2 linked regions of the Oryctolagus cuniculus genome follow. The protein of the gene in region 1 purifies or fractionates together with the protein of each later gene. This does not show direct contact. Links are inferred from orthologs where the notes say so. Each region holds a gene or a part of one and is shown in the gene's direction. Other genes may lie near its edges.

The links.
Region 2: the proteins of RRM1 (region 1) and RRM2B purify together in Homo sapiens (affinity purification with western blotting; 3 studies listed by BioGRID and IntAct, counting the BioPlex papers as one, with this or other methods). This does not show direct contact. The link is inferred for Oryctolagus cuniculus from reciprocal best matches to the Homo sapiens genes RRM1 and RRM2B.

The regions. Positions count from the first base shown.
Region 1 is NC_091432.1:62,776,644-62,784,866, reverse strand, and holds part of RRM1 (ribonucleoside-diphosphate reductase large subunit), read left to right. Parts: intron 1-3,620; coding exon 3,621-3,756; intron 3,757-4,970; coding exon 4,971-5,066; intron 5,067-6,773; coding exon 6,774-6,962; intron 6,963-8,223. UniProt on the Homo sapiens protein: Provides the precursors necessary for DNA synthesis. Catalyzes the biosynthesis of deoxyribonucleotides from the corresponding ribonucleotides.
Region 2 is NC_091437.1:127,536,923-127,545,595, reverse strand, and holds the end of RRM2B (ribonucleoside-diphosphate reductase subunit M2 B), read left to right. Parts: intron 1-4,245; coding exon 4,246-4,350; intron 4,351-7,391; coding exon 7,392-7,505; intron 7,506-7,822; coding exon 7,823-8,023; 3' UTR 8,024-8,128; downstream 8,129-8,673.

The DNA.
Region 1 (8,223 bases):
CTTGATCTCTTAATGTTTTTCATTATTTTATTTATTACCTAGCCACATAGGCCTTATACATGGCTTCTGTTTGAATTGATTGTCATAGCAATTTAGGGATTTTGGAGGGTAATGTGTTAACTTTGTGTGAAAGATTTAGAAGTTAGTCTTTTCAGGCTATTTTTTTTTTTAAGATTTATTTTATTTATTTGAAAGACAGAGTTACAGAGAGAGGTAGAGACAGAGAGAGAGAGAGGTCTTCCATTTGCCGGTTCACTCCCCAGATGGCCGCAATGGCCAGAGCTGTGCTGATCTGAAAACAGGAGCCAGGAGCTTTTTCCTGGTCTCTCACATGGGTGCAGGGGCCCAAGGACCTGGGCCATCTTCTACTGCTATCCCAGGCCATAGCAGAGAGCTGGATCAGAAGAGGAGCAGCCGGGACTAGAACCGGTGCCCATATGGGATGCTGGCACTTCAGGCCAGGGCTTTAACCCACTGCACCACAGCACTGGCCTCATGCAGGCTTTTTAAGCTAAAGAGCGTATGAGGTTTGAGGGCAGACAGGATGTTTTGCTGAGCAAATAATGAAACCAATGTTTTCCTTTTCTATCATTGAGTTTGACATCTACGAATAATTACTTTCCTTAAAGATTGTTTCTGTTAATTTAATAATACACCTTAGAAAGTTTAGGAAAATACACATGGGAAGAGGAGGAGAATGAATACTTTTCTGATACCACCACACCTGAATACCTGATTGCATCTTTGTGTTTGTCAGCCTTCAAATTTTCTTATGAGGGTGTGTGTATGTGCATATTACATGCAAATTCAACTTTAACAAAAAAGGATATGTACTGCATTTTATATGTGAAAGTGTTTATTTTATTTTCATTTGTTTGAAAGGCAGAGAAAAAGAGAAACACCAAGATCTTCCATCTGGGAGCCAGCACTGTGGCATAGTAGGTTAAGCATCTGCCTGTTGGGCAGGCATCCTATATAGGTGGAAATTCAGGTTCCAGCTGCTCGTCTTCCAAGCCAGCTCCCTGCTGATGGCCTGGGGGAAAGCAGTATAAGATGCCCCAAGTGCTTGGATCCCTGCACCCACGTGGGAGACCCGGAAGAAGCACTTGGCTCCTGGCTTCAGATCAGCCCAGTTCTGTCTGTAGTGGCCATTTGGGGAGTGAACCAGTGGGTGGAAGACCATTCTTTCTGTCTCTCCCTCTCTCTGTTACTCTGCCTCTCAAGTAAATAAATAAGTCTTTAAAAAAATTCTTCCATCCACTGGTTCACTCACCAAATGCCCATAGTAGCCAGGGCTGGACCAGGCCAAACCCAGAAGCCCAGAACTCCATCTGGTCTGAGTCACCTATGTAGTGGCAGGGGCCTGAGCTCTTGAGCCATCACTTGCTGCCTCCCAGGATACACAGTAGCAGGAAACTGGATCAGGACACAGACACAGCACTCTGATATGGGATGCAGGTGTCCCAAGCAGCAGCTGATCCACTGTGCCAAAATGCCCACCCCCATGACTTTTTGAATTTAAAAATTAATATATTAATGATATTTATTCATTCATTATATTCACTCATTGTTAGTAGAGTTTAAATTCTATGCCCTTCTTCATAATCTCTGCCAGCCACTTGTCCCACAAAACAAAAAACTTAACTCAGTGTTTTTCCCAATGATGAACCTTGTTAGTAGTGTGTGTTTCTCTAGACTTTATCCAGAACATTTACAGATAAATTGAAACACACATTTGATTTATCACAGCATTTTCCTGTCTGTAGACAGAAGATGTTGCTGTTTTACAGATGAGGAATTATAGCTGGTGGTTTGCTTGAGGCCTCGCAACTAGAAAGTGACAATGTGAAGTTGAGAACCCAGTTGTACAAACACTGTCAAGACCTCTGGCTCTGTTCTAAGCAGTATATGAATCTATAGGTAGAAAATAGGAAAACATACTGTTTGTATGTAGTCTCAAGAACCTAAGACTAAGTGCAGTAAGATATATGAAGTAAAATATAATAAAGGTACAGGTTTTAGAAAATGTTTTCAGAGCAGTTATTTGTATTTGATACTTGTGTTTATTGCCTGTCTGGGCAGAGAAGATGTTACAGAATTGGAATCTCACGCTGAGCTTTGAAGAATAAGCTTGGAGCAGTGTGGAAATTTCTGTGTGTCACATAGTATATTCTTTGTTAAGAACTCTTTTTGGCACTATTCAAAAGATGTTAACCTTCTAGGAACTTACAATTGAAAATGTAATAGATGAAGCTAGGAGTATATGAGGGTACTTCAAAAGTATATGGACAATCGAATTAGAAGATAAGTTTATTTTGGTGCAAAAAGTTTGAAATTTAGGCATAGTTTTCATAGTATGGATTTTCATAAACTTTGAAGACCCCTGATATCATGAATTTCAAATTTTTTTTGCATCAAAACAAACTTTAATTCCATTGTCTGTAAATTTTTTGAAGTACCCTCATACTATGATTTTTCCCTTTTCATAATATAATAGAGAATGAGAATTGTAGTGATATGTCTTTTTTTTTTTTTTGGACAGGCAGAGTGGACAGTGAGAGAGAGAGACAGAGAGAAAGGTCTTCCTTTGCCGTTGGTTCACCCTCTAATGGCCGCCGCGGCTGGCGCGCTGCGGCCAGCGCACCGCGCTGATCCGATGGCAGGAGCCAGGAGCCAGGTGCTTTTCCTGGTCTCCCATGGGGTGCAGGGCCCAAGCACCTGGGCCATCCTCCACTGCACTCCCTGGCCACAGCAGAGAGCTGGCCTGGAAGAGGGGCAACCGGGACAGAATCCGGTGCCCCAACCGGGACTAGAACCCGGTGTGCCGGCGCCGCTAGGCGGAGGAAGTAGTGATATGTCTTAATTTAACCACTTTCGCAATATTATTTTTACTGAAGAGGCCTAGTTTAGTGATTCATATAGGCCCTTAGAAGAGTGAGGGTTGAACCAGATACCTTGAAACATGCAGGGAACTCTTCAGCAGTGATTGAGTATTTCCCTGTGCAAAATATTGTATCCAGTGTTGTGAATCCTATGTGCTATAGTGCAAGTAGTATAAATTGTTACCTGGTTAGGATTGCCAACAGTTAACGTGTTGCTAATTCTGTGTAGGAGTCAGGCATTTAAGAAAGGGGTGAGCTGCAGCATTCATAGAGGCCTTGAATTTCTATAGGAATTGTTTTTATTTTAAGATTTATTTATTTTATTTGAAAGGCAGAGAGAGAGACACAGAGACAGACAGGTCTTCCATCAGCTGGTTCACTCCCCAGATGGCCGATCCAAAGCTTGGAGCTAGGAGCATCCTCTGGGTCCCCCATGCGGGTGCAGAGGCCCGAGCACTTGGGCCATCTTCTACTGCTTTCTCAGGCCATAGCAGAGGGCTGGATCAGAAATGGAGCAGCCTGGACTTGAACTGGCGTCTATATGGGATGCCGGCACTATAGGCAGCAATTTAACCTGCTAAGCCACAGCGCTGGCTCCTCCCTATAGGAATTTAATTCAGAAGTCAGCATAAGAGTTATAGCATATATTCATGGTGTTACTCCCAGTGACTTTAAGTAACTGCCTCCCTGGTTGATTGTAGCTTTAGAACAAGCAACTAACAATCTCCTTATCCTTAGGTATGGTATAAGAAACAGTTTACTTCTTGCCCCGATGCCAACTGCTTCAACTGCTCAGATCCTGGGGAATAATGAATCCATTGAACCGTACACTAGCAACATCTATACTCGCAGAGTCTTGTCAGGAGAATTTCAGGTGAGAAGTTCACAACCAGATTGACAGGGAGATCTTTCAAAAGCTTAATGTTGGGCATAAATACTCACTCATTTTTTACTTTGTAAAACTTTACTTACTTTGGGGACAAAACTTTGAAAAGAGAGTCATCTTCATCTCTAAAATTGTTCTGTTATTTCAGCACATAATAGACATTTAATAAATATCTGTTGAAAGAATAAATGGGGGTTCAATATGAAAGTACCTTGTTGATATTAGAGTTCATGTGATATTTAACCGTTATATAATCAGTGATTCCTGTGGCCTCTGATGATTGATTTGGGGTATATGGAAGTACTATCTAAGATAGTGATTCTCAGACTTGATTACCACCTTGCATTTCTGGTGAAATTCACTAATTTAGAGGTTTTTTTCATTTATGAATTTCCAGATATCCTGAAAAAAAGGATCACTAATTTAGAGATTTTCATTTATGATTTTCCAGATATCCTAAAGTAAAATTTTATAAGATTTTGGGAAGATATATTTCTAAGTAATTTGTTTATTTTTGAATTTGAGAGACGGAGAGTCAGATAAATAGGGAGAGAGAGTGTCCCTTTGCTGGTTCACTCCTTAAGTGCCCTGAAAACTATCTAAGACCAGGAGCCAGGAACTCAATCCAGGTTTCCCACAGGATGACAAACCCAGTTACTTGAGCCATCACTTCTGCCTGTCTAACAGAGACTGTATGAGCAGGAAGCTGGAATCAAGAGCCAGAGTAGGGTTTTGAACTCCAGTGTGGGATGCCAACTCTTAACTAGTGTCTTAACTGTGAGACTAAACTCCGACTCCTCTAATTTTTTTAACTTAAGTATTTATTTTATCTTTACTTAGAAAAAACAAAGAATTAATCCATATAGATTTACCCAGTTTAGGTAAATGTCATATTTCTTATTGTAATTAAGTTTCTTCCAACTTTATTGAGGTATAGTTGACAAAAATTGTATATATCCAAGATGTACAATAAGATGTTTTAATATTAATATATACAGACATTATAATGTATTTACCATAATATATTGTTTCTTTAATAACAGATGTTAGGATTTTAAATGAATATAGCTAAATGAATTTACTAAGCAATCTAATGTTAAGTAATTCTTTGGTGATCTTATTTATGTAAAGCTCCAGGCCTGTGAGTCTATGTGAGCCCTGTCATTGTTATTTCTTTACATTTTTTCTGTTTTTCCATTCAGATTGTAAATCCTCACTTATTGAAAGATCTTACTGAGAGGGGCTTGTGGAATGAAGAGATGAAAAACCAGATTATTGCGTGCAATGGCTCTATCCAGGTATAGCAAGAAAATGAAGTGTGCTTTTTTTTTTTCCCTTTTTTTAGGTTTATTCATTTATTTTAAAGGCAGAGTTATATAGAGAGGGAGAGACAAAGAGACATTATCCATCCACTGGTTCACTCCCGTGGCTGCAGCGGTCAGAGCTGGGTTGATCTGAAGCCAGGTGCTTCCTCTGGGTCTGCCATGTGGGTGCAGGGGCCCAATCATTTTGGCCATCTTCTGCAGCTTTCCCAGGTGCATTAGCAGGAAGCTGGATTGGAAGTGGAGCCACATGGTAGCACCACAGGCATCAGCTTTACCTCCTACACCACAGCACCAACCCATGAAGTGTGCTCTTCAGGAGCTGAGTTGGACATTGTGGTGCCTCCTCACTTATCCCAGAAAATGGAGAGAGGAAAAAATAGCTATTCATTATGGATCTGTAGGCTGTGATTCATGTAGCTCTGTTCACCTCTGCATTGGTGTGCTAGGATTATACACCTCTTACAACAAGTCTTGTTCAAGAATGTAAAGCAGTGGTTCCCAGCATGTCTGCATAATTGGGGAACTTTGAAAATCCTGAAATTTAGATTGTATTCCTTGCCATCTAAGAATGTCTGAAAGTGGGAGCCAGACATTATCAATATATTTTAAAGTTTCCTTAGGTGATTTAAAAATGTATCAAAATTTGAGGGCCACTGAAATTAGAGAGTTAAACTTAATTTAAAAGTATGATAGAGGCTGAGGACTATAATCCAAAAGACAGAATTACAAATAATATATAATAATCAAATGAAGTTGAGGTTGAACAAACGTTCATTTGTAGATAGAAGACATAGGCTAAACATTGGTGTACTTGGCAACATAGAGTCCTGTAACATTTCTGTATTTGATGACAAAAGCTGTAGCATTATCTAGTCTTTTTTTTTTTTTAAAGGTTTACTTATTTTTTTAAAAGACTTATTTATTTATTTGATAGTCAGAGTTACACAGAGATAAGGAGAGGCAGAGAGAGAGAGAGAGGACTTCCAACTGCTGGTTTACTCCCTAAATGGCCACATTGGCCAGACCAGGGCTGATCCAAAGCCAGGAGCCAGGAGCTTCTTCCAGGTCTCCCATGCGGGTGCAGGGACCCAAGCATTTGAGCCATCTTGCTGCTTTCCCAGGCCATAGCAGGGAGCTGAATCGAAGTGGAGCAGCTGAGACTTGAACTAGTGCCCATATAGGATAGAGGCACTGCAGGCAGTGGCTTTACCTGCTACACCCACAGCACTGGACCCTAGTCTGTGTGTTTTCAGGTTAACCATGACCCAAGAAAACCTGGTTTCTTTGGGCACAAATAGAGTTTGTAAAGTCCTGTCTTTAAGTGGGCTTGCCTCATTTTTTCCCTGATTATGTCCCTGTGAGTTACAGTCCTGATTATTTGTGTATTTTGCAAAACTCAAGGGTGATTTATGCTGCTTAGCTGTTACTTTCCTTTCTTAATAATGAATAATGAATGTTTTGATCATAAGCCAATTATAGAGGGATGCTTAAATTACTACCACCAGATTGATATTTGGTTCCTCAGATGGGGTTTTGTTGGACTTTTATTGGCAAACTTGGCAAGATCATGTATGATAGAGTCAGATTTGGCAGACAGACTAGACCTTTGTATCACTATTCTGTTAATCATACTGCTTTCCTGAAGTGGAGTAGAATGAATATTTGGTTTCCTTTCTTTAGAGCATACCAGAAATTCCTGATGACCTGAAGCAACTTTATAAGACTGTATGGGAAATCTCTCAGAAAACTGTACTCAAGATGGCAGCTGAGAGAGGTGCTTTCATTGATCAAAGCCAGTCTTTGAACATCCATATTGCTGAGCCTAACTATGGCAAACTCACTAGTATGCACTTCTATGGCTGGAAGCAGGTTTGTAGAGGAAATCAAGGGTTAATTGTCAACCTGGGATATTTTGGAATTGGAACAGTTTTGTGTTCTAGTTACCTGTTAAATGTTGTCATCTAGAAGTTTTTCTTTGACTTAAAATTCAATGTGTTAATACTAACCTATCATTTTTGTTAAGATCAGACTCTTGCTTTAGCTTTTCTGGTTTCTGTTAGTATTATTTAATTCCTAGGTTTTTAGACACTTAAAGTTATGTATGATCCTCTCTTTCTTTGCTCTCCATGCAGTTACTTACTAAGCTGAGTTGGTTGTTCCTTTGTACTGTTTCTTCTCTTTTTTAAGATTTATTTATTTATTTGAAAGGCCGAGTTACAGAGAGGCAGAGCAAAGAGAGAGGTTTTCCATCCTCTGGCTCACTCCCCAGATGGCCGCAATGGCCAGAGCTGGGCCAGTCCGAAGCCAGGAGCCAGGAGCTTCTTCCAGATCTCCAGTGTGGGTGCAGGGGCCCAAGGACTGAGGCCATCTTCTGCTGCTTTCCCAGGCCATACAGAGCTGAATCAGGAGAGGAGCAGCCGGGTCTCGAACTGTCACCCATATGGGATGCCAGCACTGCAGGTGGTAGCTTTACCTGCTCTGGCACAGCGCCAGCCCCTGTACTGTTTGTTCAGATTATTCATTCCTATTCTTCTGTCAATATTAACTGATCTCTTTGCTATATTAACTTTTCAGGTTGTCTTCTGCAATGAATCCCTAAAATAAAACATTGTACATATCCAATTTGCTTTTTCTCAGCATCCAATGTTTCCTCACTTTATCTACAGTGTAAAGGCCAAGTTAATTAACCTAGTCATCACCAACTTCAGAGTCCTGGGATTCTAGATTGTATTCCTCTTCTGTAGCCATGTGATGAATATTGATGTAGAATTATAAATCTTTTTAAAAAATTAACATGTGTATATAAAACATCTACCATGTGTCAGGCCTGGGTACGCTAAAGAGAAGGTGATGATTCTTACCCTTGAAATAGTCGTAGTCTAGTGTTACACAGAGACACAGTCTAACCCTGTAAATAGTTAAACAATTTAAGGCAGACATTAAGGCAATAGTCTTCGGCAAACTTGGAAGTCATACACATACAAATAAAGATGAGAACAAAAATACTTGACTTTTCCAAAGAGATAAACATGTTTTAGGGGTGAAAAGAACAGATCGTAAGCTGTCCAACTATCTAAGCATTTTTGAGAATATTTCCTAGAAGAGCTGTAATTGTACATTCAGGAAATAA
Region 2 (8,673 bases), on another chromosome or scaffold:
TTTCCCTGTCTCTTGGGATTATTCATTTATCCAGTCATCCAGTTTGAAATCTGGGAGTCGTTTTAGATTGGTTCTTTAATGGAAAGCCAAGATACTGTGGCCAAAAAAAATGTCCTCCAGGAAGGATCTCCGTGAATGAGACCCCAGTGGAAAGAAGTGGCCATCAAAGAAGGAGGTACTTTTCTCTGAAGGGAGGAGAGAACTTCCACTTTGCGTATGGCCCTGCCTAAATACTGACGAAGTTTGTGGACTCAAAAGGTTTCCATAGCCTAGGCAGCTCATGGCAAGAGCCTTGGGTGGTCACTGACATCATACATAAGATTGTTAATTGTTAAATTAACAGCAGGAGTCACTGCGCACTTACTCCCCATGCAGGACCTCTGTCCTCAATGAATCATACTATGAGATTTAACTGTAAAACTTCTTCTCAAGCAGTTTTTATATTTGTGTGTATGTGTGTGTGCATGCAAATAGTTGAAATCTTTACTTAGTATAGAGTTGGTCTTCTGTGTATAAAGTTAATCGAAAATGAATGGAGAATGAGACTGTAAATGGGAAAGGGAGGAGGAAGTAGGGCTAGGAGGGCAGGTATGGTGGGAAGAATCACTGTATTCTTAAAGATGTACTCATAAAATTTATACTTACTAAATAGAATGTTTCTAAAAAAAGAGAGGGAGAAAAATAGATTGGTCCTTTTTTTTTTAAAAAAGAAATATTTATTTATGTATTTGAAAGAGTTACAGAGAAAGGGACAGACAGATCTTCATCTGCTGGTTCACTCCCCAGATGGCCACAATGGCTAGGGCTGGACCAGGCCAAAGCCAGAAGCCAGGAACTTCATCCAGGTTTCCCATGTGGATGTCAGAGGCCCCAGCACTTGGGCCATCTGCTGCTGCTTTTCTCAGGCTATTAATTTGGAAGTGGAGCAGCCAGGATATGCACCAGCACTCATATGGGATGCTGGCCTAACAGGCGGTGGCTTTACCTGGTGCACTGGCTCCACTTCTTTTCTTTTTCAGCCACATCCATCAATAACTAAATATTGTTTCCTGTGTTAATCCATTTTGTGTTGCTATAACAGAACACTCAAGGTTGGGTAATATATATTACAAGAGGTTTATTTGGCTTATGATTTTGGTGCCTGGGAGTCCACACAGCCTGGTGCCAGCCTGCAGCAAGGACCTCCCTTGCTTGTGGAGGAGCAGAAAGGGAACCGCCATGTGCAGAGGAAACCAAGCACGCAGGATGGCTTTACAGTTTCACAGCATGCTCTTTAGTTAACTGTTTCAGTCACGGAGACCTGACCCACTTCTGCCAGACAGCACTAATCCATTCATGAGTGTGGGACCTCCATGACCTAATTACCTTCCACTAGGCCGCATCTCTCAAAGGTTCCACCGCCTGCACATCACCACACTGGGCACCCAGCCTCCAGCGCAGGAACCTGTGGCAGACAGACCACATGCAGTGCACAGCATGCTCGCTGCCGCGTGCCCTCCCTGTCTTCCCTTCATTTTTCCCCACGAAAGGCAATTCAGAACTCTTCAGACACAAGTAGATAAAATGCCCCACTCTTTCTTTTATGTTTCTGATTGAAAATGAAAACTCTTTAGCCCATGATATATATTGCAGTTCGCTTGCTCTCCTCTTTGCTAGATCCTGTGCTCCTCAGAGCAGAGACTTGGTCTATCTTACCTTTCTGTTCTCATTGGTTTAGCCCATTACAGCCAATCAGTTCACATTGATTGTACTAATGATCTTGACTCCTCAACTTATTTCTAAGAGAGAGGGACACACACACACACACACACACACACACGCATGCACACATGCATACACACACAGATCTTCCATATGCTGGTTCACTCCCCAAGTGGCTTCAGCAGCCAGCACTGGGCCAAGCTGAAGCCAGGAGCCAGAAACTCCATCCAGGTCTCCCATGTTGGTGCAGGGGCCCAACAACTTGGGCCATCTTTTGCTGCTTTTCCTGGTGCATTATCAGGGAGCTGGATTGGAAATGGAGCAGCCAAGACTCAAATGGTGCCCATATGTGTACTGGCTTTGCAGGCAGAGGCTTAACCCATTGCACCACCACACTGGTCCCTGCACTGTCCTCTTTATTAAATGTAAAAGTCTTACTGTTCTAAAATCTGTTATATGCTATTTCTCCTGCCTCGTGGCCTGTCAGATTTTGTGCTGTAACAAACTATTTTAATTGCTGCAGTTTTATGTTTTAATAATTGTTAGGATAAATTTCAAAACTTTCCTTTTTAAATTGTTCCTACAAGGTTCTGCTCAATTATTATTCCAGTTTGATTTTTGAATCAAAAACAATCTTACTGAGGTTTTGATTGAAAATTCTTTAAAACTTAAATTAATTTTATTCATTTATTGATTTAACAATGATTCATGCCTACCTTTTCTGTGGATTAGGTAGCTCTCTGTTGATTCTTTTTTTTTTCTTTTAAAGATTTATTTATTTGAAAGTCAGAGTTACACAGAGAGAGGAGAGGCAGAGAGAGAGAGAGAGATCTTCCATCCGCTGGTTCACTTTGACTGCAACAGCCGGAGCTGTGCTGATCCAAAGCCAGGAGCCAGGAGCTTCCGCCGGGTCTCTCACGCAGGTGCAGGTGCCCGTGCCCAAGGCATTGGACCATCTTCTACTGCTTTCCAGACCATAGCAGAGAGCTGGATCAGAAGTGGAGCAGCCGGGACTGGAACCAGTGCCCATATGGGGTGCCGGCACTGCAGGCGGTGGCTTTACCTGCTGCGCCACACTGCTGGCCTCTCTCTGTTGATTCTAATCAACACTTTCTTTAACATCTTTCAGCGGTTTATTTGACATTCTGCCGTTGGTAATTTGAATTGTACCCTGGAGACAAATCTTGGAAAAATGGTTCATTAGCAAACTTTTTTGCATTAGCTGTTCAAAGAGAGTTTTTTAAAATGAATTTTAGGTAAATAATCTTTTCAATACAATCTTTAATTTGAGGATCTTCTCTTTGAATCCTCTTTTGGTTTTTGTTAATTCATTTAGAAAAACCCAAGTAATTCTGATTTGTGATCCTTTAAACTGTACTTTCCGCACTCTTCCCTTTGGTTACCTATAAAAGGATTTGTTTTTCTTTGTAGTTCAGAAATATTAATTAACTCTACCATGACGTGAGTCTATGTTAATTTTCTTGGGAATCCCATCATCTTATATCTGGCCTCATTATCTTTTTTGTTTTGAATTTTTGAAAATTTTCTTCTGTCCTTTTGATTTTCAGCTTTATATCATCTGTTCTATGCTTTGGAGTCCTGGTTACTGTAGGTTGAATCTGCCTGGCCTGTTTTCTAGTTACTTAATATTCTGTAGCATTTATTAAATTTGCATCACTATTTTTTTCTCAGGGGTCTTTGTGGCTGAGTTGTCTGCAATGCCATGTCTGTTGTATATGGACTCAGATGGTGCTGAATTCATTTTTATCTTGAGCTATTCTTATTTAATATAAATACTATCTTTTTAAAATCTCTGACCTTTTTAAAAAAATCTCTGTCCTTTTAATACTACCTAATATTTGTCAGTCATTCTTTAATTTTTTTGGCATTTAAAAATTGATGAGTTTTTGGGACCCCCATTGTGGTATAATGAGTAAAGCTGCCACCTGTGTCACGGGCATCCTACCAGGGTACTGGTTCATGTCCCTGCTGCTCCACTTCTGATCCAACTCCCTACTAATGGCCTGGGAAAAGTAGAAGATAGCCCAAGTGTTTGGGCCTCTGCCACCCATGCGTGAGACCTGGGTGAAGCACCTGGCTCCTTCCTTCAGCCTGGCCCAGTGCTGGCTGTTGTGGCCGTCTGAGGAGTGAACCAGTGAATGGAAGAACTCACTCTCTTTGTCTCTCTTTTTCTCTCTGTAACTCTGAGTTTCAAAAATAAAAAAAATAAATCTTTTAAAAAAATTGATGAGTTTTTATTTTGGCTCTTCTTTCTTTGTTTTCCTTTTCAAAATGCTTTTGTTTGTAGGTTTTTGTTTGTAAGTTAATTCTTCTTTAATATTGATGAACCAAGATTTGTTGGCATTAGGTTGGCATTTAATGATATTTGAAGGAAATAAGTTCTTAACCCTATTAATTCTTGTTTCATTTTAAGAAATTCTATGACACATTCCTAGAAACAAATTTTTATAATGTTCTATACATGATTGTGTGCAAATGGATGGTTAAAAGTTCATTGGCAGTGTCATTTGTTTTCTGTTTTAGGGACTTCACTGTGACTTTGCTTGCCTGATGTTTCAGTATTTAGTAAATAAGCCTTCAGAAGAGAGGGTCAGAGAGATCATTGTTAATGCTGTCGAAATTGAGCAGGTAAGCAAAGTCCCTGCAGGTAGCACGTTTTTGTTTGTTTGTTTTTCCCCTGATATTTGTACCATTGTGTTAGGTTAATCAGGAAATTGTCATTTTGTAGCAATTTTATTTTATTTTTTTCTGGGCAAGCCCTTTAATGAATGAATACTGTTATGGACAATGTCAAAAGTCCTTGTTATGTAGAAGTACTGCTCTATGTCGAGAGAGCAATTCTCCAGTTGGCCACAGTATACTCCTGCTGACTCTCTCGGGGTTACAGTCCCCTGCTGATGGCTCGCGGGGACTTTGGTGAACCTGCTTGTACTCAGTCTAATGCCTCTTTCCCCGAGAATGTCTAGAAGCTGAGTTGAAGAGAGGCTACTCGAAAGGAGGGGGGTGAGACTGGGGACCCTGTTCAGAAAGCATCCCCTGGGATCCCTGAGCCGGGGCTTAGAACGTGCAGGGACCGTGGGGCCAGTACTCAGGCAGCTTCCTGCACAGTGCTTGTCGAAGCTCAGTGGTACCACAGCCTCCATGGCTCGGATCTTGGCAGTGTGCTCCCTGTACAGGAGCTGCATTGCGGCCAGGCCTCTCGGTAGGGGGCCCTACCAACCCATGGGTGTTGTTGCGTAGCTGGTGGTTGGTGCACTTGTAGTCATCTGGGCGTGCCGGGACCAGCTGCTGCCACGCCGTCGCTCTTCTCTGTGCTGCTCAGTGGAAGTGTGGCCAGCTCCTCGGTGATTTCCATACTGCTCAGGTTGCATTCCACCTCCCCATCTGGCTGACTCCATCGCTGCCTCCTCCTCTTTGGGTGGAGTTTGGCCTTTTCCTTCCTTTCTCCCTCCCTCCCCCCCTTCTCTTCCTCCTGATTTATTTATTTATTTATTCGTTTATTTATTTATTTATTTGAGAGGTGGAGAAAGAGAAAGGTCTTGCATCCACTGGTTCACTCCCCAACTGGCTGCATTGGCCAGAGCTGTGCCAGTCCAAAGCCAGGAGCCAGGAGCTTCTTCTAGTCTCCCAGGTGGTTGCAGAGGCCCAAGCACTTGGACCATCTTCTGCTGCTTTCCCAGGCATTGGCAGAAAGCTGGATCGGAAGTGAAGCAGCTGGGACTTGAACTGGCATCCATATGGGATGCTGGCGCCACAGGCTTCAGCTTTACCCACTGGGCCATGGCCTCAGCCCCTTGGTCCTTTTAGGCAGCTGGATCCCACGACTGTCATGTGGAAGCTGCCCACACCTTGTACAATGTGAGTAAGTGCCATGGAAGTCCTGTGAGGCCATTCGATGGTCACACAAGAGCTGAGGACACTCAGCCTCACTGTCATTGGTGCTTTGTGGCTGAAACCCAGGAGCAAAGTACCACAGGGAACTGAAATAGGAACGCCTTCTGGTGGCCTCGCCTCCAGGCCATCACCTGATGAAGATGGTGCCAGTACCTTGCACATACCGGATGACAGTACCACAAACTGGTAGCTTTCGATGCTGACACCTCTGTGAAAGTCCAAATGGGTACTGAAACTCGTGGGCCTGCTGCTTGCAGGTCGGGGCAGTGAGCAAGCAGCATTACTTTTCCATGGGGAAACTAAAGGGGAAACTGGCAATTTTATATGGTTAGCCTTGATGGTACGAATATGTGATGTATTGCAATTACTGTAAGTCAGTTTATAATTTGGTTTGTAAGTCAGCCTTTTTTCCCAAACTTTATATTTTATTTATTTATTTTTGAGATAATTTTTTATAAGTCAGTCTATTATATGATTATATTAAGGTTTTAAGTACACTAAAATCTGTCCCAGGCCTGTTTTTCTGTCTCGTTGATCTATCTGTCAAATTTCATGCCATAACAAACTTTATTGTATCTTTACATTTTTAGGTTTTTAGCTAATAGAGGGCAGTGATATTTTTGCTTGTTTATTTTGTATTCTCAGTAACCTAACAGGTACCTAGCTGAAGCATGCACAAAATGTTTACAGAACAAATAAGTAGGGGCTGGCGCTGTGGTGTAGTGGTAAAGCCGCTGCCTGCAGTGCCAGCATCCCATATGGGTGCCAATTTGAGACCCAGCTGCTCCACTTCCCATCCAGCTCTCTTCTATGGCCTAGGAAAACTATAGAAGATGGCCCAAGTCCACGATGGGCCCCTTGCACCCACGTGGGAGACTTGGAAGAAGCTCCTGGCTCCTGGCTTCAGATCAGCATGGCTCCAGCTTTTTGGCCAATTGGGGAATGAACCAGCAGATGGAAGATTCTCTGTCTCTTTCTCTCTCTCTGCCTCTGCCTCTCTATAGCTCTGCCTTTCAAACAAATAAATAAACCTTTAAAAAAAAAAAAAGAACAAATAAGTAACTGGATTAGTGACTAGAAAGGGCTAGGTGCTCTACTCAGGTTGTGTTTTTAATCATTCTAAAGTACTAGTTTGGAAATAGAATATTTTTTAAACACTGCATAGTTTAACATTACTGCATTGTTTTTCATATTGATGGGGGAATGGCATAAGATACATTTTGGAATCTTTAATTGTTTTAAAAACTAAATCCAAATAATTAATATGGTTTTATTTTTCCTCTATTAACACTTTATCACTGTCTTTCAGGGTAGTTGGAGTTTCATTTACCTCCCAACCCCCAGATCTGCTCTTTTTGTTTGTTTATTTTGGTCCTGTCTTTGTTAATTGAGCTTTCTCAACTCCTTTCCTTAGTGATGTTCCCCATGCTGATGAACTTTAGTGAATCTTTGTAAATTTTTCAAGATAAAACATCTTTTTCTAATGAAAAAAAAAATGAATCCAGGTCCTACATGCACTACTTTTAAAAATCCAGTAATTCGGTAGTTTCTATTTATTTTGGCTCTTTGAGAATGTGAAAGAATATGCATAGTAATATCCCATATATTTTTAAGCAAATGGACCTCATGTGCCACATCGAAACAGTTTATCCATAGTGCTTTCCTTGAACAAGATCAGTGTCTTAGAAAATAAAAGCAAAATCTTTCTTTTTGGAAAATGCGTACTTATTATTTTTTTATCTCTATACTTTACTCTGTTTTTGTTTCCCTTTCAGGAGTTTTTAACAGAAGCCTTGCCGGTTGGCCTCATTGGAATGAACTGTATTTTGATGAAGCAGTACATTGAGTTTGTAGCTGACAGGTTACTCATGGAACTTGGATTCTCAAAGGTAAGATTTTTATAACTGTGTTACTACTAATTAAATGTTATAGCCAGGTAATACCCCTAGGATATATTTTACAAAAAGCATTTGCAGTACTTTTTTACATATAATTTTTTAACATTAATTTTTTACTCATTTATTTCTTTTTGTTGTTTTTAAAAGGTTTATTTTAATGTCATAAAATTAGAAATTCATAGCAAAATTGCCAAATTTAGACTACTTAGAAGTTGAGAAAACCTTTAAAATGAGATTAAAAATAAAATATAACTTACTGAAAGTATAAACTAAATTACAGTGGTCTTACTATATATCGGAACCTTTAGAATACAGTTAGAGAGATCCTCGGCAATTATGGCCTTGAATGTGTGCGTAAGAAAACAAGACAGAATCGATCCAACTCTCTGCTGTGGCCTGGGAAAGCAATAGAAGATGGCCCTGCACCCATGTTGGAGGCCCGGAAGAAGCTCCTGACTCCTGGCTTCAGACTGGCCCAGCTCCAGCTATTACAGCTGTTTGGGGAGTGAACCAGCGGATGGAAGACCTTTTTCTCTGTCTCTTTCTCTCTCTGTCTGTAACTCTACCTCTCAAGTAAATAAATAAATAAATAAATAAATGTGTTAAAAAAAAAAGATGGCAATTTAAAATATTTGAACTGAACTTTAAACCCAAGGAGCTAGGAAAAGAATTATTGCTATGATATGTTTCGCTAAACAGATTATTTAAATTTTACAGATTCTTAAATAGGACTCACATTAATGATGTCATCAGCTTCTCTTTGGCTTTGAGATTAGTCAGTATGCATTTGAGTGCTCTTAGGTTTCAGGCACAAGCTACTTAATTCAATTTGGTCTTGATTTCCTTGCCTGTGCTGCACATGATTGGGATCTGATTTTTCTGAAAGATCTATTGTTCCGAAATCCAGTGATTCTATGGCTGTTGGCCCAGAGCTCTTTCCATTGTATCTTGTAAAATGTAGTTCAGATTTTCAGTCATTCTTAACACATAGTTTCTAACAATTTCACTGAGTTCCAGAACTCCGCCATATACAGCATATGAACTTTTCCTTTGGAGATAGTCATATATCTCTAAAGCTTTTTTGTTTAAAAGTTATTTATTTATTTGAACATCAGAGTTACACAGAGAGAGAAATAGAGGCAGAGAGAGACAGAAAAAG